Linked DNA regions of Cricetulus griseus. The protein of the gene in region 3 binds, or shares a complex with, the protein of the main gene of each other region. Links are inferred from orthologs where the notes say so. Each region holds a gene or a part of one and is shown on either strand. Other genes may lie near its edges. The genes, in order: Ezh2, Asf1a, histone H3.1, Kdm4a and Kat6b.

What was found.
Region 1: the proteins of histone H3.1 (region 3) and Ezh2 are in contact, whole or in part, in a cryo-EM structure (PDB 8VMI), measured with the Homo sapiens proteins. The link is inferred for Cricetulus griseus from reciprocal best matches to the Homo sapiens genes H3-4 and EZH2. Residues at the interface, in NP_003484.1 of Homo sapiens: Ala26, Arg27, Lys28, Ser29, Ala30, Pro31, Ala32, Thr33, Gly34, Gly35, Val36, Lys37, Lys38, Pro39, Arg41; in NP_001190176.1 of Homo sapiens: Arg497, Trp499, Ala500, Cys503, Arg504, Ser514, Phe542, Arg561, Gln570, Leu575, Ala576, Val577, Tyr641, Gln648, Ala651, Asp652, Asp659, Ser664, Phe665, Leu666, Phe667, Asn668, Val674, Arg685, Ala697, Lys698, Val699, Phe724, Asp725, Tyr726.
Region 2: the proteins of histone H3.1 (region 3) and Asf1a are in contact, whole or in part, in a crystal structure (PDB 8Z50), measured with the Homo sapiens proteins. The link is inferred for Cricetulus griseus from reciprocal best matches to the Homo sapiens genes H3-4 and ASF1A. Residues at the interface, in NP_003484.1 of Homo sapiens: Asp107, Leu110, Cys111, His114, Lys123, Gln126, Leu127, Ala128, Arg130, Ile131, Arg132, Gly133; in NP_054753.1 of Homo sapiens: Val45, Ala48, Glu49, Glu51, Asp54, Val92, Thr93, Val94, Leu96, Arg108, Gly110, Tyr111, Tyr112, Asn114, Glu116, Leu140, Asn143, Arg145, Thr147, Phe149.
Region 4: the proteins of histone H3.1 (region 3) and Kdm4a are in contact, whole or in part, in a crystal structure (PDB 2YBP), measured with the Homo sapiens proteins. The link is inferred for Cricetulus griseus from reciprocal best matches to the Homo sapiens genes H3-4 and KDM4A. Residues at the interface, in NP_003484.1 of Homo sapiens: Ala32, Thr33, Gly34, Gly35, Val36, Lys37, Lys38, Pro39, His40, Arg41, Tyr42; in NP_055478.2 of Homo sapiens: Ile71, Tyr85, Asn86, Ile87, Gln88, Ala134, Asp135, Val160, Ile166, Thr167, Ile168, Glu169, Gly170, Val171, Tyr175, Tyr177, Glu190, Asp191, His240, Lys241, Met242, Ser288, Thr289, Asn290, Arg309, Asp311, Met312, Val313, Lys314, Ile315.
Region 5: the proteins of histone H3.1 (region 3) and Kat6b are in contact, whole or in part, in a crystal structure (PDB 6OIE), measured with the Homo sapiens proteins. The link is inferred for Cricetulus griseus from reciprocal best matches to the Homo sapiens genes H3-4 and KAT6B. Residues at the interface, in NP_003484.1 of Homo sapiens: Ala2, Arg3, Thr4, Lys5, Gln6, Ala8, Arg9, Ser11, Thr12, Gly13, Gly14, Lys15, Ala16, Pro17; in NP_001357065.1 of Homo sapiens: Ser217, Phe218, Leu220, Arg227, Ser242, Ser243, Gly244, Cys248, Leu249, Lys250, Phe251, Leu255, Trp264, Cys266, Ile267, Glu268, Lys270, Gln278, Ala282, Asp283, Asn284, Met285, Leu286, Phe287, Cys288, Asp289, Asp292, Met307, Pro308, Lys309.

What each region holds. Positions count from the first base shown.
Region 1 is NW_023276806.1:222,412,574-222,418,410, reverse strand, and holds the end of Ezh2 (histone-lysine N-methyltransferase EZH2), read right to left. Parts: intron 5,073-5,837; coding exon 4,977-5,072; intron 4,215-4,976; coding exon 4,133-4,214; intron 2,987-4,132; coding exon 2,906-2,986; intron 2,745-2,905; coding exon 2,660-2,744; intron 1,655-2,659; coding exon 1,594-1,654; 3' UTR 1,330-1,593; downstream 1-1,329. UniProt on the Homo sapiens protein: Polycomb group (PcG) protein. Catalytic subunit of the PRC2/EED-EZH2 complex, which methylates 'Lys-9' (H3K9me) and 'Lys-27' (H3K27me) of histone H3, leading to transcriptional repression of the affected target gene.
Region 2 is NC_048595.1:255,438,597-255,445,014, forward strand, and holds the start of Asf1a (histone chaperone ASF1A), read right to left. Parts: upstream 4,234-6,418; 5' UTR 3,830-4,233; coding exon 3,721-3,829; intron 1-3,720. UniProt on the Homo sapiens protein: Histone chaperone that facilitates histone deposition and histone exchange and removal during nucleosome assembly and disassembly.
Region 3 is NC_048600.1:73,029,046-73,033,644, reverse strand, and holds histone H3.1, read right to left. Parts: upstream 3,393-4,599; coding exon 2,982-3,392; 3' UTR 2,952-2,981; downstream 1-2,951. UniProt on the Homo sapiens protein: Core component of nucleosome. Nucleosomes wrap and compact DNA into chromatin, limiting DNA accessibility to the cellular machineries which require DNA as a template.
Region 4 is NC_048595.1:34,146,914-34,152,864, reverse strand, and holds part of Kdm4a (lysine-specific demethylase 4A), read right to left. Parts: intron 4,852-5,951; coding exon 4,481-4,851; intron 1-4,480. UniProt on the Homo sapiens protein: Histone demethylase that specifically demethylates 'Lys-9' and 'Lys-36' residues of histone H3, thereby playing a central role in histone code. Does not demethylate histone H3 'Lys-4', H3 'Lys-27' nor H4 'Lys-20'.
Region 5 is NW_023276807.1:199,318,437-199,324,387, forward strand, and holds part of Kat6b (histone acetyltransferase KAT6B), read right to left. Parts: intron 3,902-5,951; coding exon 3,670-3,901; intron 3,194-3,669; coding exon 3,034-3,193; intron 2,456-3,033; coding exon 2,135-2,455; intron 1-2,134. UniProt on the Homo sapiens protein: Histone acetyltransferase which may be involved in both positive and negative regulation of transcription. Required for RUNX2-dependent transcriptional activation. May be involved in cerebral cortex development.

The DNA.
Region 1 (5,837 bases), on a different chromosome or scaffold from region 3:
GATGCAGTCACAGACCACTATAGTTGGGATTTCTGGGTTTTCTTAGGATCCCCATGGTATTTCAGTGCCCCCAACCAGCAGGAAGTGGTGTGGAGAGAACGATGCCCACATTCCCAAATATTGTTTATAAATGTTTTCATTTAAATGGGGTGATTGCAGCTATTGCTGTTGCTGCTATAGCAGCCACTGTGTCTGGGATTGCCATCTCACAGTCTGTAACTACGGCCAGCACGGTGGGTAAACTGGCAGGGGAAGTAACAGAGGCCCTTAGCACTCAGAGCTCCATAAATAACTTAGTTCAGGTAGAAAGTTTAAATCTTAACAAATTATCAATTGGCCAATCAAATTATTAGGATAAATGGTTCCTCCATCCTCTGGGGAGATCCTCCTTAGGGGATTACAGATGGCAGGCCGTTTAGTCAAAGAATGGGCTGGGTCCTTATCTCTGGGCCTTGCAGCCATAAGACTTGTTATCATTCATTTGGCTAAGGTGCCTTGGCACTAGACAAGCCCAGGCTCAATTTGCCACATGATGGCCACAGAGAATCCTTCAGCTCAACTATGGTTGAGCCTACAGAAAAATTAGGCAGCCAATGACGGGTGAGACCAAGGGCATGCCAGCCAACCTAAGACAGAGTCATACAGCCTGGGTGATTTTTGCATTGACGGGTAAGGTTTGCATCAACATCCTGGTCACCTAACACTGACGTTAATTTATACATAAAAAGGGAGAAGAAAAAAAAAAAAAAAAAAAAAAAGGAAGGGGTAGATGTTGGGCCCCAGCCCCCACAGGGTCTCTGAGTTGCTTGTCGGCCAATAACCACAGGTGCATCCTGTTTTCCAGTCCTGGCTTACAGCCCCAGCCTCGCCCCACTAGCATCAACTATACCTGGGAAAATACTCACTCTTACACCTGGGGTTTCTCCACTGTGCTGTAAGTGTATATAAGGCAGCTCTCCCCCTGGAATAAAGTCAGACAGACGCACATAGCACAAGCGGCCAGACGTCTCTTCTAATTAAATCTCCAGGCTTTTGCCTGATACTTGGACTTAGTCGCGGCTCAGACACCACAATTTTACATATGGACAGCAGATTTGGAGGTTGAACAACTTTTCCTGGGTAACAAGCTGACTCACTTTCCCCGATGAATGCCCAGGACCCACACCAGTGTCATTCACTCAAGACTAAAAGGCAATGGTATCACTGTATCTAGGCAAACACAATGCCAATATGTTTATCATAGACAACTGGAAAACCAAAGCTAAGTTGTGTTTTCCCACTGAATATAGTCTTTCTAGAATCAGTTGATGACGCTCTATGACAAGTGACTCAAGAAGTTCAAGTATTCTTTATTCAAAGTTGAAAAATGTACCATACTGCATTATTGCAAAAATTCACTGGTACAAAACACTTTGCAGCTGGTGAGAAGGCAATAAAAAGTTGATTTTTTAAAACTCATTACTATAAATTACTGTTACAGTACTTTGCAAATTCAGAATTTCAAACTGCATTTTCTTTTTCTAAATTGCCCACAGTCCTCAAGGTTCCTGAAGCTAAGGCAGCTGTTTCAGAGGAGGGAAGAGGTAGGAGATGTCAAGGGATTTCCATTTCTCTTTCGATGCCCACATACTTCAGGGCATCAGCCTGGCTGTATCTGAAACAACATGAACAAGAAGTGACTACTGTCCAATATTAGGAAAACCAAGCCTGTTGATGGAGAGGATTATGTCATGACAACTCGCAGACCCCGTCACTCAGCTGCATTCATGAAGAGGAAGCATGCAACTGTCACTCCTCAGTCCCACAGCCCTCCCTGTGCCTTTGTGGCACTCTACTGAGCCAATTCCACATTGTGATGTCTGTGTCTAATACTGAAAAAGCAAAATTAAGATCTGGAAAGTCCCATCACTAAGGAAGCTGGACACCTTTGCCTGTAACCCTGGTCCACTGAGAGCATGCACGAGACACAGCATGAGGACCCTATTCCAATCCCCAGGTGTCACTCACTTAATTCTCTCCAGCTATACAGTACAATGTACTAGAACTAAGCAACACAGGCCCCCATTTCAGCAACTAAAGTTTCTAGGTGGGGTGGATATTCAGTTACAAGAATTCTCTAACTAGATATCTTTACTTGACCACATTTAAGTAACTGTTTTGTCATGTTTGTCCCACAGCCAGGTAGAACACACTGCCAGCCTGCCTGTCTCCTGCCTGTCTCCTGCCTGCGGAGCTCTACACTGTCAGTTGTACTAGCTTCCCCAAAAAGATTCCACAGTGACCACAGGGTAACGACAACAATTAAAGCAATGAAGATAGATACACAAACTGCACCAATGAGAAAGGGTGCCTTAGAATACCGACGTGAAGTGAGACATAAGACCCAGGGGTCACAGTCATCAACAGCCGGGAGTTCAACGCAGCTTCCTGCGTGGGGTTTGTTTTTTCAAATAAGCATTATATAATTAACACATGGCAACCTATATTGAAGGAGCATTTAACTCCCTTCTGGTGTCCACAGCAATCAATGACTGGCCAGTTCAAAGAATGCCCTCTCCAATGACAGCAGATCAGGCAAAGAACTTAACGGCCTTTGACCTCAGCCCACAGTACAGGAAGGGAAAGCCTGCAGATTATACTAAAAGTTTATTTTACCAACCTGTAATCAAAAAACAGCTCTTCACCAGTCTGGATAGCTCTCTTAGCAAAGATGCCTATCCTGTGATCACCGTTAACCATCATAACTGGAAGGAGAAACACGGGGCTGGTGAGCATGAAGACAGGCCATGGCGGGTAACTGACTTCACACAGCAGGTGCCCCAGAGATACTGAAGTCTGCTATCACTTGGCTGGTAAAAAAGGGAATTTTTTGCATCAAATTGGCAGTGCCAACCTAAAAGCCTACCTTTTGCATAGCAGTTTGGATTTACTGAATGATTAGCAAAACGAATTTTGTTGCCCTTTCGGGTTGCGTCCACCACAAAATCTAAAAAAACAAAAGAAAACAATCCAGTGACTAATTGCAACCATGGACTAAAGTTGTTATGGTTTTAGAAACAGGTCTTCAGGATTTGACCTCAAAAGCAAATAAAACATTCAATACAAAATGACATTTGGAAGAAAATACTATTCTACATTAAAATGAATCCCTGGTGGCTAAATATGGCTCTCAAATGCCACGACTTCTCAATTATATGTTGCTGAACAAAACATGCCTAAAAAAAAAAAAAAAAAAAAAAAAGGATTCCTGCCGAATTTCTGTGAATATCAAGAAGTAGGCATATTGAGATTTAAGATTAGAATATTTCTATGGAACATTTTCATAAAGAAGAAAGAAAACATGTTCTATTTGTCCAGCTGAAAGTTTCTCTGAATATCTGTATTACCAACCCTGGCTGAGGTAGCTGCTGCTTTCCTCACAACCTGTGGACAACACCCTGGGCCACAAGGTTTCCACATGCTGCCTGTGCTCCCAGATCAGAGATGGTGACTAACCGGGTGCTGAAGCTACTCAGCCCCCAAATCCCAGGGAACACAAGACAAACTACAGCTGTGGGGGAGACAATGTCCCCTCACAGCCAGAGTGTCTGGGGCTCCTTGTTTCCTGCATATAACCCTTCTACTCCATGGGGACTTCCCCTCTCCTCACACATCCCTGAGCCTAGGCCTGGTGATAAAAAAATCCCAGGAGCTGTTCCTGTAGACACATGCCCCTTCCTGGCATCTTGCTGACTTCCAACCTGAAATGCTCAGCCAGCAATCAGATCCCAAACCACCTCCAAGGAGCTAAGTGCCTCCAGCTCAGCACACACCACTGTTCAAGGAGCTAAGTGCCTCTAGCTCAGAACACACCACTGTTCAAGGAGCTAAGTGCCTCCAGCTCAGAACACACCACTGTTCAAGGAGCCAAGTGCCTCCAGCTCAGAACACATCACTGTTCAAGGAGCCAAGTGCCTCTAGCTCAGAACATATCACTGTTCAAGGAGCTAAGTGCCTGCAGCTCAGAACACACCACTGTTCAAGGAGCTAAGTGCCTCTAGCTCAGAACATATCACTGTTCAAGGAGCTAAGTGCCTCCAGCTCAGAACACACCACTGTTCAAGGAGCTAAGTGCCTCCAGCTTAGCACGTACCGTTGTTCAAGTTGAAAAGGAAGCTGCACATATACTTGTCATACACTTTCCCTCTTCTGTCTGCTTCATCCTGAGAAATGATCTAGAAGGAAGACACAGGAGGAAATTGTTTGGAGTAAGTAGTCACACCTGTTAGGACATTTAAGGGCCAATGAACAGAATTTTGGTCCCTCTTGAGAATATCAAGGTGCCACAGTAGCCAAATTCTCTTCTCTGGTGTACAACAGTGAAGAATTTTTAAATGTTATTATATCTATTAATTTATGGGAAGATGCTTGTACACTCGTGCCCCGGTGTGTCTGAAGTCAAAAGACAACTGGAGGAGTCATTATTCTCCTCCCATCATGTGGGGTCCTAGGGACTAACCTCAGGTCATCAACCTAGCAGCTGCACCTTTACCACCCAACTCTCAGACCAGCACCCAATACGACATTTCTAAGAAAATCCCAAATCTGAGCGATTTCTGCTGATAAAAGAAAATACAAACTGTGACTTCCTGAAGCTGTCTTAAGGCTCCCCCTACCCCCCAGGCTGACAACTAAAAATGCCAAGTTAATAACGCTGTTGTTTCTCAGTCCCCATCAGCTCATCAATGAAGTAGAACCAATTCTACAAAGCAACGCTCTTGTTCCCGAATCCCTTATCTCCAGGTAATAAAAGCCAAACATGACTACAACTAAAGCAATCTAGCTAGTTACTGCACAAACCAAATCTACAAATACAAATAAGTCCGGGTTTATTTAGTATTCATTCTAACCTAGACTTGTCCAATGAACTCTATCTATCCAAAACAATGCAAGTTGCTGTTATACACAAGACCACTGGATTTCATAGAGTGCCTTACCTCTCCACAGTACTCTGAGATGAATTCATTTTTCTGTACAGGATCTTTGATAAAGATTCCCCAGCCTGCCACATCAGACGGTGCCAGCAGTAAGTGCTAGAGAATAAGCACAATCACATAATGAGAACACAGCAAAAGCAGAAGACTAGCGGGCTGCAACATCTTTGAAAACAAGTTGCCACGGTTAAACCTCAGACCCATCGAGGGGAATCACTCAATTCCCAAATGGATTTGACAGGTACGGAAAGTTGCCTAATGTATCTGAAAACCATGAAAGCAATGTTTCTAAACAAAACTCAGAATAAATATCCTCTTATAGGAAAAACAAAACCAAGCCTCTGGTGTCATGGGTACTGCAGAAGAAAGGGAGGTATGTGAGATCTGCTTTGCTTTTACTTCCTTTCAGTTCTCCACTAATTCATTCAACCTAACATAATCCAAAGGGTTCATGTGGACTGATCACCTAGAGGTGACTGAATTGTGAGGGCTCTGAACTCTTAACAGACTTATCCCCTGACAGACGCAGTTTGACGGCATTACTGGGAGGCGGTACAGACTGGGTGAGTTCTGGTTGGAGGATGTGGTCACTGGTGATGTGTCTTTCAAATGTGTATCTTGTTCGTGGCCCTTCCTGGGTTCCCCTGCCTCCTGTGTGCCATGGATTGAGCTACTGTTGCCCACCGAATGGTGCTCTGTCTCACTATGCACAGGTCAGAAGCAACAGGCAAGGGCCCATGTGCTGAAACTTTACCAGCCAAAACCTCTCTCTTTTAAGTTATTTCGCTCAGGTATTTTGTCACTGTGGCAAAACTGTGAAACACAAAGTATTATTTTTGTTATTTAGTGTGTATGCATACAGTG
Region 2 (6,418 bases), on a different chromosome or scaffold from region 3:
TAAGCACCATTTTAGAAAAGTCTATGGAGAACAGAGAGGCATAAAACCATTTCTTTTTGAAGGAATCTGTTCTTTAAACAAGGGTGAAGATGACAGATATCTCCTAAGGTGTTGAGCATGTGTGGTCTATGTTTGGCTTCATTAGTGAGACTATACTAAGCATCCCCTAAGAGACTGTTTCAACAACTGAGGATGGAGACTATGGTGGTGTGGTTCACTATGGTGACCATGAGGGTAAAGTAAAGCACTATATCCTAGGTAAAAAGTCTGGGGATGGAAGCAGCAGTAGGCACTCTCTTTTTCCTTTTGGGTATAAAGGAGAAAATAATCAGGAGTTAGTTTTATACGTGTTTGGAATGTCTAGTAGATGTTTCAGTGTGGATACAACATAGGCCCGATCTTAAAGAATAGAAAATAGGCAATAATACATAAAGACAAGGAAAAGAATGGGATTCCTAAGCACTGAGCCTATGGACTCTCCAAAAGATCGGGAAGATGAAGAATCAATTAAAATATTAGGAGCTATTGGCCAATGAGGGAAGTGATCCAAAAGCTAAATGAAGAAACTAAAGAAGGGTATATGAAAAGCTACTAAGTGACCTAAAGTATTCGCATGGGCTTTGTCACTTTACAAAAATGCTTTATTATACAGATAGATCATTCAAGCACACACATACTGTACATGTGTTATATAAACAAGAAAGCTGAGACTGGGAGAAGCTAAGTAATTTACTAAAAATTCACGTTGCTTACAGATCAGAATTAGAATTCAAGTTGGGCTGCTGCTACTCAAAAGCCTTGGCTTTAAAATAAATACAAGTAACTGGGTAAGTTCTGCCCCTTTCTAGCTGTGAACTAATGAAATTAAAGAACACAGAAGGTGGGTAAAAACTGGCAGTGGAGAGCTAGATAATCCAGCCTCAGTAAGTACAAGCAGTAACTCAAGAAGGGGCACACACTGGGTTTTAATGCCATCGAATGCTTATTTATTAGTTTGTTTATAAAGCCAGTTTTCCTTTCTGAGTTTAGGAAGTTAAGGATAAGTCCTGTGGCACTACAAGTTACTAGCTGGAATTTACTCACTTATTTAAAAAGTTAACTTTTCTATTTAATCATGGTAATCCCAGACAGAAAGTATTTCCATGTGTGATGAGAGGTGTGTTATCCAGAAAATTTTAAGTTAATTACACTGTTGGGAATCTGTAGTCTAGGAGAAAGTATAAAGTCTTTGCAATCAGAATAGGCCTGAACTTTTAAAATATAAAGCCACAGGCTCAGTTTTGGTACACTGCAAATATTAAACCCTAGAAATTGTAGGGAGGCTAATCAGACTTGTACAGGCATAGCAATGGGGGCATGATAAAGCCCCTACTTAGATCCCTTAAAAATTTTAAAGCATTTATTGTGTTTATGTATGTATATGGGCACTAATGTGGAGGTCAGAGGACAACTGGTTGGAGTCAGTTGTCCCTCTACCATGTGGATTCCGGTGTCGATCTCAGGTAGTCAGGCTGAGTAGCTAGTAGCTTTACTGGCTGTGCCATCTATCTCACTGGCCTTTACATCCCACTTTTTAATGTGCTCTACTCTTAGAAGCCCAGTATAAGAAATAACTGTTTCAACCTTAGAGCAAATACTACTCAAGGCTTCTGAAGCAAAGCTACAGGGCAGCTTTTAAAGGAAAATTAAAATAGTTGAAGATGATTGATGAGCATAACAAATGGTGGCTAATCTGTAGGTTGGGGGTAGACCCAAATTATAGACTCAAAATTCCCTTCGAAGGATTTTGTAGTTTGATTTTAAGAATTAAAAAAAAAAAAAAATCACAGTACAACAGAAGTATGGAACCTAGAAAAGAGCTTTTGCAAAATAAGTCAACTCCATTTCCTTACTCCACACAGCCTCTAGATGGAGTACACAGAAATGGCACCTTTTTGAAAGATTCCTTTGCAGCTTTGGAATGACTCAGCTTAAAATATCCTAAAATAATGGTGCCCTGGTTTTGAAGGGTACTAGAGGTAAGGGTATTCTTGACATGAGAGTGATACCATTGATGTGAAAGGACCCCAGTTTAAAACGGAACCTCACTTGGTTTCTGTGGATGGCTGGTTTCGAACTATCCTGTAGAGCCACCCTATAACAATATCCTAGATCATGTCTTCCTTGCACAAAGTTGAATCCTAAAATGGAAGCCATCGCTTGAGAAATACCTGTAATATGAAGAACTTCTAATGCCTAGAACACACTGCTATTGGGATAGAATGGACTCACCCATGCTTTTTTCTTTATCTTTATATATAAATTGGCAGTTAAGAAGAAAAACCAATGTTGTGTTTGGAAATGGGTCTGGTGTGGAAATGCTTTTACTAATACTATCGGACAGTAACAAATGGAGTTTTAAGCAAAACTTACCCTCAACCTTACATCACCACAGCCTATTAGGAGACTACTATATTCTAATCATGAGTCATTCTTCAAAATATTTCCTACATACTAAATTTTTGTGCATTTATACTTTATATAAGTATTAAAAACAACAGAGGGGTACATTTTAAAGTGATGGTGTGGTTAGCTAAAAGAATGGGTGAAAGAGCTGTGACTTCCTTTTCCAACTTTTTAAAGTTTATTGCAACGGGCATATATTGGTTTTATAATTAAACTTAACATCCTACATAAAGTACACTGTGGGGATTTAAAACTTTTAAATGAAAAGAAAAATTCTTTCCGTCATGGTGAGGATAATACTCTTAAAGGCATTTTTACGAAATACTTCCAGGTCCCAAGATGTCCTCCTAACTAACTTAAATTAACACTGATGAAGTTATTACACTTTTTGTTTCAAATTTTGAAAATGAAGCACTGGTTTTACTAAAAGCCTAAGAAAACTGATGATAATCCCTCATTGTAGCTTTCTAAATCCTGTATTCCTTCACTATTTTGCATTTTTTTTAAACCGCAAAACGTACTTCAGAAAAGACTTTGGCTTTTATTCCCTAGCCAACGTCCGTATTTTCTCTATCCGCCTGGCCGTGGAGTTATTTTAATTGCATCTTCGTACGTTCTGGGGAAAGTCTTGGAGACTTTTTAGAAGCCAGTACCGGGAATTGTTGCAGCGCCCAGCTTTGGCTCTTGGGCAGGGTGGAACTTCCTAGCCCCGCACCGTTTCAGAGAGATTTCCGTCCTCCTGGAGAGGCGTCCACACTGCTGGGGAGCCTGCGCGCAGCATCCCGGGCGCCCGCCGGGAGCACCGCGGGGAGGACGACGGTCCCCGGGAGCCAGGCGCCGAGGGGCCGAGTCAGCGCCCGCCTTCCGCGCTGGTTGGTGGAGGGAGCCGGAGAGCGGCGCGAGGACAGCCCCGGCGGGAAGGCGCGGGCCCGCTCGCCCCCGGCGGCCCGGAGCAGGCGTCGTGCCGCCGGGTAAGATGGCTCCGCTCCCCGCCGGGCCGCGGGGCCCTGGGGCCGCCGAGGCCGCACGACCCCCGCCGGCGCCTCACGAGCCGGGGCCGCCCAGCGCCGCCCGCCACAGACAAAGCTGACAACATGGCTCCTCCGCCGGTAAGTTGCTCGCAAGTTGCGGTGCGGCCGGCGTCCCTCAACTTCAAGTTTCCCTCGCATGGCCGCCGCCCGGCCGCCCTCCCGCCGCCCGCGGCCCACCCCGCGCGAGGCCGGGCCGGGAAACTTTAACGTCCGCCGCCACAACTGACAGCCCGGCGCTGCTCACCTTCAGACAGGTCCTCGATGCACTCGAAGGTGATCTCGAACTGGAACGGGTTGTAGAAAGGCGACGGGTTATCCAGCACCACTACATTGTTCACCTGAACCTTTGCCATATTTTGAAGAAAACACAAACAATGGGGCCGGGGCTGGCGGCACCACAGAGTCCCGCGCGCGGCCGCTCGGAGAGCGCAGACCCCCGCCCCGGCGCGGCGCGGCCCGACGTCGTGCAGCGGCGACTTGAGAAACTTTTTTTTTCCCCCTTTTTATTTACACGGCAGCACTCCACAGTGTTTTGCAGCTTTCCTATTCCACTAAACTACAGCCCATTCTGCTCTGATAACTAGCAGCGTTGCGCGCGATTGGCTGCCCCCGAGCTCTGACCCTCCTCCTCCAGCGAGGGCCGTGGCGGCGAGCAAGATGGGCTCCCGCTCGCGGAACGGACGGGAAACTTTCACTGCGGCTCCACCTGCTGGTGTGGACCAGGACAAAGGCGCAGAACAAAGTGAGTGGAATAGGGGCTGGGAGGCCCGCGCGGAGGCCGCCGCCGGCGGGAGGGGGGAGGGGCGGCGCAGGCCCCGCCCCGCCCGCCGGGCCCGCGCCTCACGTCGGGCGTGGCCGCGGCGGGACGGAGGGGCGGGGCCGGAGAGGGGGCGGGCCGGCGGCCGTGGCGGGAGGGCGCGAGCTGGCCCCTCATGTGCGAAGCGTGGGCCTTTGGGTTTTCCGCTGTCCGCCCCGCCTTTAACGTCTGTTCTTCGGTGCGGCGGCTTTGCGGGCTCTGCTGAACGTAGCGGATAAGATGCGATTTTCTGCGCTCGTCAGGCCCAGCTGTGTGTGCTTCCTGTGATGGTAGGGAGTAGGAAGAAGGGCTGGTTGCAATGGAAGTACATTGCATCTCGTAGACCCGTGGCAGCTCGAAAGGAGCAAGCCATTTTGGAAGACAAGTTCTTGGCCACTTATCGACGTTTTGGCAATAGAAAATGAGGGCGGGGAAATCACACCACACACACATACACACACACACACACACACACACACACACACACGAGAGAACGAGAGAGAGAGAGAGAGAGAGAGAGAGAGAGAGAGAGAGAGAGAGAGAGAGAGAGACAGAGACCGGAAAACAAATCTAAATATACGATCTTTGGCTGCACCTTGGATTTCTTCCCATTTCAGACCTGAAATAGAATGAAAGGGGAGATAAGAGGAAAAGATGGGATCAGTCATGTTTCTGCCCTTTGGGGGAGCAGAGCAAGAAGTTAGAAGTCAAGAAAAGGGAAGTGTCAGGAGACCGAAGGACAACAAATTTATTACAATAGAGTTTGAGAAGGAGAAAACAAAGTATACCATGACATTTGGTCTTCAAGAAATTTATACCAACTATTCGTACATTAAAAATAGCATTACGAATTCTGAGGAGCCCTTCTATGCCTGTAATGCCTGTGAAACCATTTCAAGGCCAATTGAGGAAATGTTGCTTATTTATGCTACTGAGCTGCTATTGTGGAGGGGGAAACAGAAGCTTTTAACACCTTTGTGAAAGTAAACTGTTTCCTTTTACTAAATTGAGGTGTTACTCAATTTACTATTGTGTTTTCTCCCCTTTGGAATTAAACTACGAAACGTTATTAAATAAAATTCAGATTGAAAATTGCTTTTAAGTATTAATCTGCAGTTTACAGAATTTTGGTTAGTCATTCTTTGGACATGTTGAGACTTAGGTGGGTTGGTAATGATGAGAAATCTTTGTCTTTGAATGTTATTGTGAAACAGGCCCATTCTCTTAGTTTAAGGAAATGAAAGTGGGGGAGAGAACCACTCTTATTGTCAGTAGACTGAGCAGTCAGGTGGCACATGCCTTTAATCCCAGCACTGGAGAGAAAGAGGCAGGGGGATCTGTGAGTTCAAGGCCAGCCTAGTCTACGGAGTGAGCAGAGTGAGTTCCAAGATGTGCTCCAGAGCTACACAGAGAAACCCTGTCTTGGGAAAAAAGGGGGAGGGAGTGCCTACCAGTTCAATCACAGTTATTTCTGTGCATCAGAGTAAAAGTCACACTGTGGTTGTAGAGGTGGTATACCATGCGGATAAATAATACACATATACACAATACACATGCATAAAGGCCTTGTGAGCAAACAATGAGAAGATAGCATTCACAAGCCATGAGAAAAAAACAAACCAAAGCCTCTGAAGAAACAAACCAATGTTAGGCTTGGAAGGTCTAGCCTCCAGTATTTTGTTATGATAGCCCTAAAAAAATAGTGAAACTATGAAACATTTTTTCTCATAGTGAATGAAGGTTGCTTGAGTAAGCATGTTTAGTCCCAGTATTCATCAGTTATCAAGTACTTTATGAAGCGTGAAATGCAATAGGGAAGATGATGTGGAATCGTGTGCATAGCCATTCTTCAATGGAAGAACCTATTGTTGAACAGGTACCTTGACATTTGAATAGATAAGCAGTGTTTCCACGGGTCCAAAACTCTACAAAGAAAACTATAACATTTAGTTAAATTGAGGTTATACAGAGGCCCGTGAAAAAGCAAGTTAAATTCAATAGAATTAAAATGTTTTGAATGAAATTTTCTTGGAACTGAGAATGAAATGGAGTCCTGCCTGCTGCAAAATGTAAAGCAGAAATGGCAGAGTAACTTTTAAAATGTGTATTATAGGGCCTGATGATGGTGGTACTGCCTTTAATCCCA
Region 3 (4,599 bases):
AAGAGCATCAGACTTCAGCATTCATTCTCCGCCTGACTCTGGATGATGCTGTGCATCTCAAGCAAGCCACAGAACTGATTGGAGTCTGTTTCCACACGTCAGGTTGGGATAGGATACATTATAAAACGGGGCCTTGGGAACGGGGTAGCCATGGTCCCCAGTAACTGGCTGATCTGAAGCCAGTCCAGTGCCTCACTACCTGAGTTAGTGATCATCTGTCTTTCTCTGCAGGAACAGTCCCTGTCCCCTCACCCACTGTGACTAATGGCTCCAGGGTCACATAATTTCCACTGTACTTACAGGCACAGCAAGAGTCCATAGCTTCTTTTGTTTTGAATTCCAGAAGGTCTTCTCTGTGATGTATGGAGGAACGAGTATAATAAAAAGTATTCCTGCTAATTTTTTTGAGGGGATGTGCTAGATAGGGATTGAACCCAGAACCTTGCTCAGGCTAGGCAAGTGTTCCTTCCTGCAGAATTCTGCAGTTGTTTTGATTCAACAGTGTTGGCACCTGGCTTTGATCTGCCTTCTGTGATGGCTACCCTTTGTGTCTGTTGAAAGTAAAATTTTTTTGGAGGGGGGGTGAGACAGGGTTTCTCTGTGGCTTTGGAGGCTGTCCTGGAACTAGCTCTGGTCTCGAATTTATAGAGATCCACCTGCCTTTGCCTCCCAAGTGCTGGGATTAAAGGCGTGTGCCACCACTACCCAGCTGGATAAATCTTATCTGAAAGTTTCTTTCCTAAAGGTTCAAAGCCTAAGCAAAACCTGGTCCCAGGAGGACTTGGCAAACTGAGATGTCCTGGGACTTTTGGAATCTGCATTGGCATTGTCTCTTTGAGGAGCTTAGATAAGAGGTTTTGGTATAGGAAATTAATTTGCTATTTTGTGACTTGTATAACGATAAAAATGCCCTTTACTAAGCGACAGTGAGTCAGTTCCCATTGACTAGTGCTGGAAAGGTTAAATCATCCTTAGAATGCCTCGTGTCTTCTTTCTTCAGGCGGCTTGAACCCACACCCCAACACAGCGCTACCATTAAGCGCTACCTAGGATGCTGTGCGCATCCTAGGAGATTGTCTGGAGACTTCATCATACACTTTTGTTTTGTTTTGTTTTGTTTTGTTTTGTTTAAAGACGGGGTATTCCAGGCTGGCCTCAAACTTTCAGTATTCCCATCTCAATTTCTTGGGTGCTGGGATTACAAGTATGAGACATGCTGCACCACCACTGACAACACGGAATTTCTTCCTGTCTGAAATGCTCCAGAGGGCTGTCTCTCCTGTCTTTGGCTTGCAGTCATGTCTTCTCTCAGTCCTCACAGTGTCCTCTGTGTATCTGTGTCCTGATCTCTTCTTACAAAGATACCTGTCACCCTGGCCTCAGATCATCCCAGCAACTTTAATTACCTCAACTACCTGTCCTTAAAGATACAGACACAGTCATATTCTAAAGTGATGGGAGTCAGGTCTTTACCATGTGAATGTTGACTTCAGCCCCCGAACGATCCCAAAGGCAGGGGAATAATACTGTGAGTGTTGAGTATGTCCTGGGCACGACATCTCAAGTGACTTTTTCATGGCAGCCCAAGCTGGACAGTGACATCTAACCAGGTATGAAGGAAACATTCTATGCAGATAATCTGTGGGGGTCACCTGGGGAAGCCTGCAGCTGAGCAGTAGGAGTGCTGGGGCTGGCTAGAGAGTGGGGCTCATAAGAAGTCCCAAGATTCTTTCTGCTACTCTACTAAAGTTCTAGAAGTTTGCAAATGTGTCTTAGCATTCCTAAAGCACCAGGTCAACCTCAGACCCAGCAGGATCCTTCTATGACTGTCTATCAGCCTGTCCATGGGGCTCACAAATCAGGGCAGAGTAACTTCATATAATTGAGAGAGCAGACACATCCAAGCACAGGTGCATGCATATTTATGTATTTTATGTTTAATGTGTTGGTGAGTACAGTGATACCCTGCTGACCTGGTGCTGCAGTAATAGCAACTAGACGGTTATAACCACCCACTGGGTGGCACCTGGCCTAGCTCCAGAAAGCTAGCACCTAGCCTAACCCATCCTTTGACAGACTGGATACCTTTTGTCCCCTTATGTGAACTTTGTTTGGGACTTTCCCAAGAAGGCAAAGCTTGGTTCAGGAAATCCAGAAAACTGTGGTACCTGATGAATTGAGAATTTGCACTTGGCATTGTCTTTTTGGAAGCCTCATTCAAGTTGGTAATCAACTGGCTAAAGTGTAAACATAGAGGAAAAAATGTCCTGGGTGTAGAGAATATAAAGTTCCTTGAAGCTGGGATCCCCTGCAGTTGCAATGGCTAAATTCATTCTTAAAGTGTTTCTGAGTTTTCTTTTGATGGACCATGTGAACCCACACCCACGCTGCAACATCTGAGTCAGGTGAGTTTAGAAGACCGTGGATGCTGTTCCATGGGAGCCTTATATCTTTTAATTTTAAATTTTATTATTGTTTGCAGGTGCACACTTGCTAGTACGCCTGTGTATGCATATGTGGGTGCCTTCAGCTCAGTGTGCTTTCCATTGTAGGAGAGAGGGCTAACTTTTACACACAAGAGTAGCCAACCTTTTAAACCAAAGTGCAAGGTTTTCGGGACTTTCAATGGGAGTAAACTGGAGTTAATGCAGACTTGTCATCGGCACACCATAGTTGTGGTAGTGTATTTGTGGCCTGTGGAAGCTGGACTCTACCTGGCAGGGCAGTCAGCACTACAACCTTGTTACAAAGGTTCAGGCGAAGACCTACTTAACGCAGGAGGGACCTGCTGATCAAACAGCTTAAACGGGTATGGGTCCGCTGTAAAGCCGGACTAGCTCGCTGGACTTCAAAGTCAACTCCGCACGAAGTGGACAGGGGATCAAATCTACAAGGCTACAACCACTTTCTCAGACTGGGTGGGTGGCTCTGAAAAGAGCCTTTGGGTTCAAAGTAGTGCAAAGATGAGGAGCCTATGGCGTCTAGGCCCGCTCTCCGCGAATGCGACGAGCCAGCTGGATGTCTTTCGGCATGATGGTCACCCGCTTGGCGTGGATGGCACACAGGTTGGTGTCTTCGAATAGCCCCACGAGGTAGGACTCGCAGGCCTCCTGCAGCGCCATCACGGCCGAACTCTGGAAGCGCAGGTCAGTCTTGAAATCCTGGGCGATCTCACGCACTAGGCGCTGGAACGGCAGCTTGCGAATCAGCAGCTCGGTGGACTTCTGGTAGCGGCGGATCTCACGAAGCGCCACGGTTCCTGGGTGGTAGCGATGCGGCTTCTTCACACCGCCAGTAGCCGGTGCACTCTTGCGGGCCACCTTCGTGGCCAGCTGCTTCCGTGGAGCCTTGCCTCCTGTCGACTTGCGTGCTGTTTGCTTGGTGCGTGCCATCGTCCCGAAGTTCTTTTCTTCTCTGCTTCTCCTCGAGTGTGCAAGGTGCCCTGTGGGCTCGGCTTTTATAGAGCCCACTGCATTCCTATTGGTTGCGCACCTGGTGGCGTGTTTGAGTACTCCACTCTGATTGGTCCATTGGGCGTTCCTCTTTACATCCTGCCCCTTATATGCTCTCCGGGTGGCAGTGACACCAGAGCTATTAGTAGAGACTAATCTCGGTAGGCCCGCAGCATGGATTGTAGAAAAACTCGAGTCATTCTCAGAATTTTTTTTTTTTCAACCCTGCTTCAACTGTCAAGTCACAAAGAACCTTCTAGCATCTCTGGGTGTTTCCTTTATATGGCAACAGGGCATAATTTTCCTGAGTTCTGTGATATTAGAAAAATAGTCTCGGTTTAAGGACTTCTGGGACAAGGGCTGGAGGTGGTTCAGTAAAATGAACTGTCTGGTCTTCCAGAGGACCACGGTTCAGAACCCAGCACCCACACTATGGCTTGCTTCCACCTTAATTCATCTCAGGGGATCTGACATCTTCTGCTGGCACCAGGCATGCAAGTAGTACACACAGTATACATGCAAGCCAAACACCTACACACACACACACACACACACACACACACACACACACACACACAATTAAAATAAAAAAAATGTAAGTTAGAAATTATTTAAAGATTTTAATTTAAAAGTGTTTTAAATTAACAATATTTCAAAATTAAAAATATTGTAGCTTTAAATTTTAAAAATATTTTAAAAATAAAATAAATATTTTTAAATTAAAAAAAAAATGCCCCCACTGTGTCCTTGCTGGCCCATGACAAAGGCTAGACATAAGCACTACAGGTTCCCAACTTTGCAACACCAGCAATTAGCTGAACTTCTGGCTCTCACTGATCAATCTCAACAGATGCAGTCTTTGTTTTATTTTGTACCCCTGCCCCAACTTTGGACCAGCTTCCCCCTTCCCTTAAAGACCCTTGTGATGGTTTCAATGAGAACAGCCCTAATAGGCTCACACATTTGTATGCTTCCTCCCTAGTTGTTATAGCTGTTTGAGAAAGGATTAGGAGGTGTGATCTTTAAAGAAAGTGTGATGGGGTTGGGCTTTGAAGTTTCCAAAGTCCATACTAGGCATTCCTGCTTGCTCTGTCTCCTGCCTGCTAATCTATATGTAAGAAAGCAAGCTCTCATCGACTGTGGCAGC
Region 4 (5,951 bases), on a different chromosome or scaffold from region 3:
CTGCCAACTATCTCCACCCATGCTAGTGCATGCCCCAACAATCTCCTAGTGAGTTCGAGGCCAGCCTGGTCTACAGAGCAAGTTCCAAGACAGGCTCCAAAGCTACACAGAGAAACCCTGTCTCCAGAAAAAAAAAAAAAGTAGAAGAAGGAATGAAGAAGAGGGAAGGAGGAGGAGGAAGAAAGAAGTGATGGCATATGGTTTTAAAGCAGTAAAAGCAGATGGAGAAGCAGGTCCGGCAGGAGCTTGAGGTCTGATCTGCACAACAGCACTCTCATGCTCCTGACAGCACTCATGCTCCATCTTTGTGCACTTCCAAGCAGATCACAGAGTTCCAGTTTCCAGGCACAGCATGCAGAGCAGACCCGTATGGGCCTTGGTGTGAGCTATCAGGACATGAAGAAGAGATCACCCTCCTCTCACAGACTCTTGTTCCATCTATCTGGTATATTCCTCCAAACTTCCTCCTTCTCAACATCCTAAATTCCTTCAGCCCAGCTAGGCTGCCAGATCTTCCAATGGGAGCTGCATCACTTAGCATCACCCAGTGCTGAAACCTCATGCTCCTCTTTGTCCACATCTGCTCTGGAGGTCCTGGAAGGCAGTCCTGGCCCATAGAACATGGGCCCTACTGACTACAAGGGTTAGGTAAGCAGGTGGGTAGGACAACACCTTTTTGGAGAACTTAAATGGCTCAAGGCTGCCAGCACACACTGACAGGGCAGAGAAAGGAATTATTGCAAGTGAGAATCCACAAAGAAATGAGAGGGACGCTGAAAGCGTGCAGGCTTTCAGCAGGACTGAAAGGAAGGCATCTAAGGAGAAGCCTCCCTACCCTGTGGATCATGATGGCGGAGGCATCTTGGCTGCAGTCCACGCCATGGATGCAGAGTATGCATCAGTGAGTTGCAATCTGCCTTCTGCAGGAGTACACGCTAGTCTACAGCCTCACCATATGGGAGCTTGGGCAATGCTTTGTCCCTTCCAGGGCCTGTGGACATCTAGGACTGCCTGTCCCTAGCTCTTCCATCTATTTGAAAATAAAGAATAGCAGCACCATTTGCCCACAGGTTAAAAAAGTCACTTTGTTCAATCATATTAGCTGGCAACAAAATGACATCTAACCCAATTTTTTGTATCCATTCACTTAATTGATATCAAATGCAGGAAGAAAAGGAGATGACTAGTATTTATTGGCTTGCTGTAGGCTCTCCAAAAATAAAAATAAAAAACACACCAAAAACTCCAGTAGAATTAATTTACAGTAATAGCCTAAACGATGTTCATAAAATATTTAGTATCCATTACATTTTTGCTATTTGCTAGCTACTCTTTGGACAGTGACTAGCAGGAAGTCAGAGTTCTGCAAACAAAGGACAGGCAGGGTGAACTGCTGTCCCACGGCAGGGGGGTTGGCACCCAGGGGCTTGTGAGGAAAAACAACAAGGTGGCAGCTGCAGGGGTTAAGAAAGTTTCCTAGCTGAAAAGCGTTCTCCTGTAGGTGCTGCGTTACGGGGTACAGAGAGCACTGGTCAAAGCAACCAGAAGGAAGCATGGTGGTGATTAATTCATTAGCCTGCAATCACTATGAGATGCACGCAGGAAGTCTACAGAAATTGAGCCATGACACTTGGAGGAAGTGGAGAGAATTATCTGGGTACTGAAAGACAAGATGAGTGAGGGGGGCTGTGTAATGGCACAGTGGGTGGGGGTGCTATCCTCCGGGCCTGACAACCTGTGAGTTTGATCCACAGGATCCACACAATGGGAGAAGAGAAGAGAAGCAATTCCCAAAAGTTGTTTTCTCAGCTCCACTTGTGTGCCACGGCACAAAGTCACTCACAAAATGAATAATTGAAAAAACAACTTTTTTGGGTTTTGTTTTGTGAGACGGGGTTTCTCTGTGTAGCTCTGCTCACAACCCAAACAAATTTTAAAAGCAGAATGGTTCCTTAAAAAAAGAAGATAAGACACAACACAGGAGGTGGTGAAAACTGTAGTTCCAGGTCAGGGCTAGAGGATCTCAACATTGGGGCTGGAGAGATGGCTTAGAGGTTAAGAGCACTGAGTGCTCTTCCAGAGGTCCTGAGTTCAATTTCCCAGCAACCACATGATGGATCACAACCATCCATTATGAGATCTGGTGCCCTCTTCTGATGTGCAGATATATATGGAAGCAGAATGTTGTATACATAATAAATAAATAAAATATTAAAAAAAAAAGTCTACAACATTGAGTTCCAGGTCAGCCTGTGCAACTTAGTGAGAACCTTAATGAGAGTTTTAAAAAGAAGGGGCGATATGTAAGAGGTAGCTGTAGCAGAAGCAGGAGTCAGGGAGTAAAGAAGTTCAGAGTCAGCCTGAGATGTATCATATAGCAAGATCCAGGGCCAGAGACAACCCATCCATCAGGTAAAAAGCACTGGCCACACAAACCTGATGACTTGAGTTCCATCCCTATACCCCATAGGGAAAGCCAGATGTTGTCCTCTGATTCCAAGTGTCACAGTATACTATACAGGTACCCACACATCACATACATACATACACATGCAACCCTCCCCTAAAATCTTGAAAAAAAAAAAATGTATGTAGCAAGATCCTATCCAAAAGAAAAAGAAAACAACAAGGCACTGGAAATAAGACTCTGCAGCCAAAAGCATAACTGCTGTGTTAGAGTGGACTAAATTCAGTTCCTAGCACCATGTCCAGATGCTCGCTCACCTGTGTCCAGCTCCAGGGCAACCCAACACTTCTGGCTTCTCAAGGCACCTGCCCTCACTTGCACAAACCCACAAAGAGCACACACATACACACAATTTGAAATAAATGATATTTTAAAAAGGATAAGGGGCAAGAAATTTTAAATAGAGACAAAAGGCAGCACTAGGGAAACCTGGACCATACATACATGGAAGACCAACATGGCCCACATGCCAGGATGACAGCAAACTCACAAGCATGCCTATTTCTCAAAGATATCCAACCAAACAAGTTACTTAATATGAAGCAAGAGCAGAAAGCCAGGTGGCCTGTGAGTTCAAGGCCAGCTAGGGCTACATGGTGAGCTCTTACTCTAACACACAAGCACAGGGGAAGGAATGCAGCCACTCTGGCGGGCGTTCATTTACCACAGCGCACGTGTGGAGGTCAGAAACATTAGCAGTTGGCCCTCTCCTTCTCCTATGTGGGTTCAGAAACAGAATTCAGGTCGTTAGGCCTGGTGGCAGGCACCTTTACCTATTAACCAATCTCACTAGCCTCTTTTTGTTGTTTTTGTAAGACAGAGCCTAATGAGCCCCAAGCTGGTCTCAAACACATCATGTAGCCAAGGACGACCATGAACTCCTAACTCCTACCTCCACCACCCAGTGCTGGGACTACAAATGTACACCATCATGCCCAGCTTGACACCTTTTACCCTTACTGTGATCGGGACCATGCAAGCTGTGAGGCTAGGGAAAGAGGTTATCTGCAGAGGTGAATCAGCTGTAGCCAATAGGAATTCTCTCAGCATGGCAGACCAGCCAGGAGCCACAATATACAAAAGGAAGAAAAAAAAAAAAAGCTTCTGGTAACAGTGGGTACTAGGAGGAGACCCAACAAACACATTTCCATGTAGAGCTCTAGGAATCCGTCCTGGTCTCCAAAACAAAGATCTATCAATGACAAGCTAGGATTCCATAGAGCAGTGAAAATTCCTAAGAAGAAAATGCCACTGGATATCAGGGTGAGAAAGGCCACTGGAATGATCTGAATGAAAAAGCCCCCAACAGGAACATATATTTGAATGCTTAGTCACCAGGGAGTAGAACTGTTTGAAAGGATTAGGGGATGTGGCCTGCAGGAAGTGTGTCACTGGGGGGTGGGCTTTCAGGTTGCAAAAGCCCATGCCAAGCCTAGTTGTCTCCCTTTCTGCCTGCAGATCAGGGTGAAGGTCCATAGCACCACACCTATTGCCATGCTTCCTGGCATGACAAAGGACCAAACCTCTGAAACTGTAAGATAAGTCCCAATTAAATGCTTTCTTTTGTAAGTTTTTGTAAGAGTTGCCTTGGTCACGGTGTCTCTTCACAGCAATAAACAGTGACTAAGATGCCACCTTATCTCGAACCCCAAACACCTGGGCTGCAACCACTGCCATCCATCCAAACCTTTCTGCTCTGGGCAAGGAGTCAGAGGAAGGGCTTCCAGCACATCAGCACATCCAACCAAGCTTAGGATTTACACTGCTCTGTCCCTGATGCCACTGCTGAGATGCGGTCCTCTGGATCAACAGTCACACACAGAGAAAGAGGAAGACGGGGACTGTCACCTGGCATTCTGACACAACCACTGCAGGTAGTAGATGCAAGATGAGACAGAGGGAGCCTCTCTCCTGCCCTCCCACACACCTGCAGCACCTTCACCCTCACAGGCCGCCTCTGTCACAAGCTGCCTTGCAGGGCAGTGGCCTCCCACACCACTGCAGAGCCTGTACCTCTGCCAGTTCCTGCTCACTGATGCTTCGGGGAGCACTGCGCTTCTTCTTCACACTAGGCTCTCCTGTGGCGGCCCTGCCATCCCCTCTGGCATAGCTGTGCACAGTGAGAGCTCCTGTTTTCTCCTGGCCTTGACAAGAGACAGATTCGCTGGTTTCAGAATCTGAAGAAACTGAATCCTGGGATGAACTGGAGCCCAGGCTGGAAGAGGATTTCTTTTTGGAACCTGAGAAGACAATGCGTCCTCCTACGGATGCAGGATTCACAGAAAGGTCCAAGGCGGCTGCTTCGGGATCGTCCTCCTCATCCTCCTCTTCTAGTTTGACATTCTTCAGTTCTTCAAATTTGACTTCAGTGGGGTCAGAGTAATCTGAAACACAGGTGCATAATATCAGACAGAGCCAGTTTCCTTGTTGGAAGCAGGATGGCAACCTGGCCACTGTGTGATCAAGACTCAGTGCTCAGCACCAGGGCCCCCAACTTCTTCCTCTCCTTGCTGTGTGAGGGTCCTACCATTTCTTCTTAGGGGCTTCAATCCAAGTCCTGGGCATAAGGTAGCACAACTCACACATGACAGGGTTACGAGCAAGTGGCTGCTGCTGTTCCTCACAGGCCTGTGCACAGCAGCAGCCCAGCTGCTGAAGTCAAAAGAAATTCTACAAAGCACAAGTCCACAGTGCTCTCTAGCCATCAGACATACCTCAGCATGTAACACAGTGCTCCCTAGCCATCAGACATACCTCAGCATGTAACACAGTGCTCTCTAGCCATCATGTACCTCAGCATAGAAACAGTGCCATCAGACAAACCTTGGCATAGAGTAAGCAGATTTCTTCAAGCCCAAAATAAGCCTGTCCCTAAGAAATTTAGACTTGGTGCCTATCTGAGTGCTCCAAAACCGTGTTTCTTACGACACTTGTGAGTCCTCCAGCCTCCAAGTGAACAAATGCTACAGTGGCAGGCACCTGATTTGGTAAAGACACTGTACTCCTCCAACATATACAGTTATATTTAATTAAGACTCTTAAGCTGGGCATGGTGGTGTTTGTCTAGAATAATCCCAGTATTTGAGAGGCAGGAGAAAAGCCCAGTCGAATACCAGTCAGGGAACAGAGCAAAACAATTACTAAAAACAAACCAAGCTCAGTGGCACATGCCTATCACCTCAACACTCAGGAGCCAAGGGTTGGGGATCTTCAGTTCAAAGCTAGGCTAGGCTACACAGTTGAGACCTTCCTTCAAAATCAATAAGCCAAGTGTGGTGGTACATGCCTTTAATACCAGCACTTAAGAGGCTGAGACAGGGGCTGGAGAGATGGCTCAGTGGTTAAGAGCACTGCCTGCTCTTCCAAAGGTCTTGAGTTCAATTCCCAGTCCCAACAACCACATGGTGGCTCACAACCATCTGTAATGAAATCTGGTGCCCTCTTCTGGCTTGCAGACATACCTGCAGACAGAGCACTGTGTACA
Region 5 (5,951 bases), on a different chromosome or scaffold from region 3:
GTTGAACATCCCTCTTGGGCGCCAAGAACAAGGCAAGTGTTTTCCAAATAAAACACTTGTTTACTCAAGCAGAGGCTTTGAGAGAGAGAGAGAGAGAGAGAGAGAGAGAGAGAGAGAGAGAGAGAGAGAGAGAGCACCCTAGCAACTTGACTGCAGATTTTAAAAGCTGAGCACGGTTTTTCCAGCATATATTTTCTAAGTGGCACTTGCTAGCTTCAATATCTGACATATCACAGACTGTTTCTATAAACAGTGCTTGTATAAATGCTGCAATAACCAACTATCGGGTCAATTACCTATTACCTGCTAACTGCTATGGAGATGCCCACTGCTTGACAGGCACTATGGGAAATATGGTGGGATAAGACTAATCTCCTTGTCCCAGAAATGAAAGGGCCTTAAAGAAACAATTACTCTACTAGTTAGAAAACAACAGAGTTAGAGATTGGTGGCTGCTGGGATGTGAGCAATTAATACTTTATTATAGACCATTTTGATATGGAAGATGATTAAAATATCTCTGTATAAGATAATAGAACAGACAGGCAGTGGTGGTGCACGCCTTTAATCCCAGTACTTGGGAGGCAGAGACAGGCAGATCTCTGTGAGTCTGAGGCCAGCCTGGTCTGTTCCAGGACAGCCAGGACTGTTACACAGAGAAACCCTGTCAAAAAAACAAAACAAAATAGATAGCCAAGATATGTATCATGAGCTATGAAATTGACGACACTACTCTGTGAGGTGTCAGTACATTTACATGAATGCTAACCTCTAGGTCTGGGCTGTAGCTCACTGGCAGAGCACTTAACCTCTCATGTACAAGGCACTGGGTTCCACTGTCAGCACAGTGAGGAGCAGGAGTACTACCTCCAGATAAATGGTACCAAAGAATTATTGTATCTTACATTTTTTTAAAAAATTATTTAACTTTTACTTCATGCACATTGGTGTGAAAGTGTCAGATCCCTTGAAACTGGAGTTACAGACAGTTGTGAGCTGCCATGTGGGTGCTGGAAATTGAACTCAGGTCTTTGGGAGAGCAGCCAGTGCTCTTAACTGCTGAGCCATCTCTCCGGCCCTGTTTCTTACATTTTTAATTCCTTCAATGTTCTTAAAGAACAAAATTAGGTCTATTACTAATTCTAAAATTTAACCACATTAGTAATTTAACATTTGTTGTTATTAGTTCCCTCCATCTGCTTACCCTCCATAAGCAACCAGATTTCCCAGATACAAGTGCAGCGAGCTAATTCCCTTCAGGTTGAATCCGTATGGACAGCAGTGGCCCATGCCATGCCTTGGATGATTCTGGCTTTTCACGGTTTTATATAGAGTTCCTCTCACTATACTCACAATGTATGAACATATTCTCTGCACAAGAAATCAGAGTAGCCAAAAGTGTACTTCATGGGATGTACATTTCATGGGATGTGCTACCTCCAAATGGGGAGTCAGAAGAAAGAACCTAGGGGAGTCAAACCTTTCAGGAAAGCTCTGGGGAAGTCTTCTTTTGTACCCCATTTGTACTCGTCATGGCTATCCTAACAATATCTGGCCCTGCTGTATGTCATAGACTGAAAATGCAGACAAAGATAGCAGACGGGAGAGAACAATTGCCTACAGACAAAATCAATGCTCCCCTTTCTGTACCGCTGGGTTGGAGCTGGTGTGATTTGGAGAAACTGCTAATGTGTAGCTGGCCACCTGCAAAGCACTAGCCACAAAATCAAGGGCATGGAATACCTAACAACTCTATGTGAGGATAAGGGACATTAACGACAGGAGCACTGGCTTGGAGTTCTGAGATGTGGATGGCCCTCGGGTGAGTCATGTGACCTTGTCAAGTCTGACCTCCCCAGTCCTTGAAGGGTGGTTAGGTATGTGCTCTCTGGTGCCCTCCTGGTTATCATGACTGCATTTACTCTTATCCTGCAGGCCAGCAGGTGGCAGTGACCACCAGACTAGGGAGTTAGCTAGGACAGAGCTAACACCAGGAAACACACATGACATGGATCAGTGGACTGCAACACATAAACTACATCTTCAGAGTGTAAAACAAAAACTAAAGACCACTGCAAAGATGAGTCAGAGGGACTGAAAACAGCTAATCGGCTGAAAAGCTCAACACACACACCTTTCTCTTAATGGAAACTGACTGTGGTTTAGTCAACCGTGGGGGAGATGTCTGAATGTTTTCTTCTTCCTCATCATCTTCCTCTTCATCGTCTTCCTCCTCCTCCTCTTCCTCGTCGTCCTCCTCCTCTTCTTCACTACTCTCTTTGGACAGCTCTAACAGCTGTCCTCGATCCCCGGCCACTGGCCGCCTCTCTGGAGAATGCGAGTATTTATTTTTTGATTGTACTTTTGCAGGTGATTGCCTACTGTTGACTCTAGATGACAGGATCTCTTGTTCCTCCTTTTCCCAGCAGCTGGCTTGTTCCATTAGTCGTTCAGCCTGGTGTGGGGTGGGGGAAAAAATGGTGATTGGTGAGAGGGCAGTTGCATAGTGGGAGCCTCCAAGATCAATGGAAAAGGGTCTCTAAGTGAGTTCTGAAGGGGATAGTCAGCTGGCCAAGCAAATTCGAGTCGTATCATTTCAGGACCCTCTGCATCAGTTAGGATAACAAATCTAAGATGACTGGGTTTCATGGGATATTTAGCAGTATTAATGATGCAGTGAATTGATTCGAGTGCTTTATCACTACATTACATGCTCACTGGCATGGAGCATTCAGAGCAGGTTCATAAACACAAGGAATCGATTGACATGGCAGCACTGCAGCTCAGCACCAAAGCTGATCTGATTACATGCTGTCAGTGGTGAAAATGCTGCTTTGTGATCAATGATAAATGTCTCATTTTTCATACTCAACTCAATAGAATTATCATGTCTTATTCAGTTAGGATAAATTAGTGCTTTATCATTTCATAAGCTCTGTCTATATAACTGAGCTTTTATGATGATGCTAATGACTCAGTTTAAACAAGCTACAAGACTAGAGTGTGACTCAGGATGACAGAGCACATCATTACCTCCTTTTCAGCTTCCCGCTCTTCTTCAGAAACCACAGCATTAGAAATTAAAATTGGGGTCCACCTTAGACTCTCTGGATCAAGTTCATTGGGTCGGGAAGAGTTTTTCAGCTTTTCCATGTGGCCCAATATCAACTTTTCCCTTCTAATGATAACAAACCTGTAACACATCAAGGCAAGACAAAGTGAATTCAAAAGTCGAGATAGAGCGGGGCAGTGGTGGCGCATGCCTTGAATCCTAGCACTAGGGAGGCAGAGGCAGGTAGATCTCTGAGTTCAAGGTCAGCTTGGTCTACAGAGTGCGTTTCAGGACAGCCAGGCTACACACACTTTAATCCCAGCACCGAGGAGACAGAGGCAGGAGGGTCTCTATGAGCTCAAGGCCAGCCTGGTCTACACAGTGAGTTTTAGACCAGCCACGGAGACACAGTGAGACCCTGTCTAAACAAGAACAAACAACTCAGGGTTAGGTGGGTGTGCTGATGCATACCTGTAATCCCAGTATTCAGGAGGGGGGTTGGCAGGAGGCTCACCATGAGTTTGAAGCCTGCCTAGGCTACATCTTGAGATCCTGTCTTAAGTTACAAAGTAAAACTCGTGGGGGAGCCTCACCTCCCCAGGGACCATGTTACTCACCTGCCATCTCTCCTGTCAATCATGTGTAGGTGCTGTAGAGTAGTAGCAATGTCATGTGGGCACATGCCTGTGGCTCTGCTAATGGCCTTGATGCTGATGTGTCTCTCATGATGGTGGTAGAGATATTCCAAGATGACACTTTTCCAGTAAGCCAGGTAGGAGAGTCGGCCCAGATCAGAAAGTGGCTTTTCAGGAGACCCTGCTTGGCCTTCTCTTCTAGAAAGCAAATAGCCTAGGGCAGAAAAAGCAAAATTCCACTCATTTTGGGTGTTTCCAGAGCTAAGTCCAGGAGCCACTAGAAATAATGCAATCAGTGGCAAGGGGAAAGCATCACACAGGTGAAGTGCATCCTGTCAAGCATGTCACCTCTTCTAATTACTGTGATGTCACCTCGTCAAATTTCTGCTTGTCAATCTTTTGTGTTGGCACCATAAACCAATTCACACAGCTGGCTGGAGCAAACATACATGGTGGTTTATGTCACAGAGACTGAAAGTTAAGACTAAAGACATGACTTCAGGTGAGTCTCAACACATAAATCTCCTGCAAGCTTGAAATTCTTCCAGATACTCAATGTCAGTCCCTTAGGAGTCCTGTGGAGGAACCACCCCAGCATTAATGGGCAGGGCTGTTTTCCACAGGCAGACCTGATGACCCTCTGACGGGTAGGGCTTAATAAAACAGAAGGGCTTTGGCTGACACAGTCTGCATTACTTGTTCTGTCTAATCAGCCGATTGATTTGAAGCTGTTTTAGGACTAATAAAACATCTTTCAAGTCAATGGTGGCAACTCCTGTCTGATTTGCTTGCTCTATTTTTACCCTTTTCATGAAAATTAACTTATAAACCAACCCCAGAATGTTGCTCCTACAAATTACAAATAAAACACACGAAAAAAGAAAACCAAAACTTTAAAGTGCACCGTTCCATGTGCATAAAGAAATCCCCAAGCACACGGAGCTTGACTGATACAGCTCTCTGGCAAAGGAACTCTGAAATGAGAAAACTTCAAGCCCACTTGCAGGAAATGAATGAAAGCTGGCGGCTGTCTTGGTAATTAAGAGCCACTTATGGAGTAGAGAAGAAATGCTGCCTGTCAAGTAATGATGTCTTCTTTGCTCTAATTATTTCAACAGCCTCACCTTTGTGAACTTCCTGGATTTAAACAAACATCAACCACATACAGTAGGTGGCAGCAATTACCAAACCAGGCTGCTCTATAGCCACCCAAATCTTCAGCTTCCTCTTCTTTATCTATATTCCCAAAATGGCTGCACTTGCAAGATTTTTTTGTTTGTTTGTTTTTTTGCTGTTGTTACAAAGAGAAACCAATACCTCTGATCCATTTTTTCCCGTTTCTCAAAAGCCAATGCAAACAATGTAGAAATCTAGAACAAGATATTCTATCTCAACAGCATCCTACATCTTGATGGCTTTAACCTGAATGTCGTCATACAGAATAGAAATAAAATAGACATTGGGTTTTGCTTAGGAATTCTGACTTAACTCGTCTTGTCATGTTTAAGTGCAAAGTATCTGACCGAAAGCAAACAAGTCCCGGAGTTTTATAGTCAAACCGCTGTCGACGACGCATCACTCTGCTACAGACTGAGGTTTTCACAGCAGTGTCAGGAATGCTAACATAGATGGCTGCTGTGTAGAAGCCAGCCCACATGGAGGCCTGTCAACATGGGGAGTGCTTTGTTGCCAGAACAGTGGAGGAAGCCCGGATCTCAGAACACAGATAGCTGGCACGTCAATGTCGTGCTTTCCAAGTGCTTGCCACAGTCTGAGAATTTATTTAGTCAGCTGGGGGCCCAGTCTATACTCCTGTGCTCTTGTGCGCAAGTGAGAGTGTGTGTGTGTGGGGGGGGAGGGGGCAACACCAAAGAACCATGGACATCCCACAATTAAAAGTTTCCTGCAGTGACTATGGAAGATTCCAGGCCCTTAAATGTTTCATGTGAACCCCATTACTGAAGGCAGAGATGTAATGTGACCCATGAGAAAGGTTTGTGCACAAGCAGAAGGCTGGTGGCGCAGTTCATCCTCTCTCCACCTATTTTCCCCACTGCACAGGGCTACCTTACCCAGGAAGCACATGTTCTTTGTTCTGCCTCTGTGTTCCCACACTCTCTACTCTGAACTAAGAAGGAAGCAGCCAGAATTCCCAACCGCCTTCCCATTTTACCTAGCTGTTCTTGTTCTTGCCCCTGAGTCTAAAAGGGTGAGGGCACTCAAGCAAGCAAGTGACTTGGGTCCCTGGGGAGCATGGGAGTATA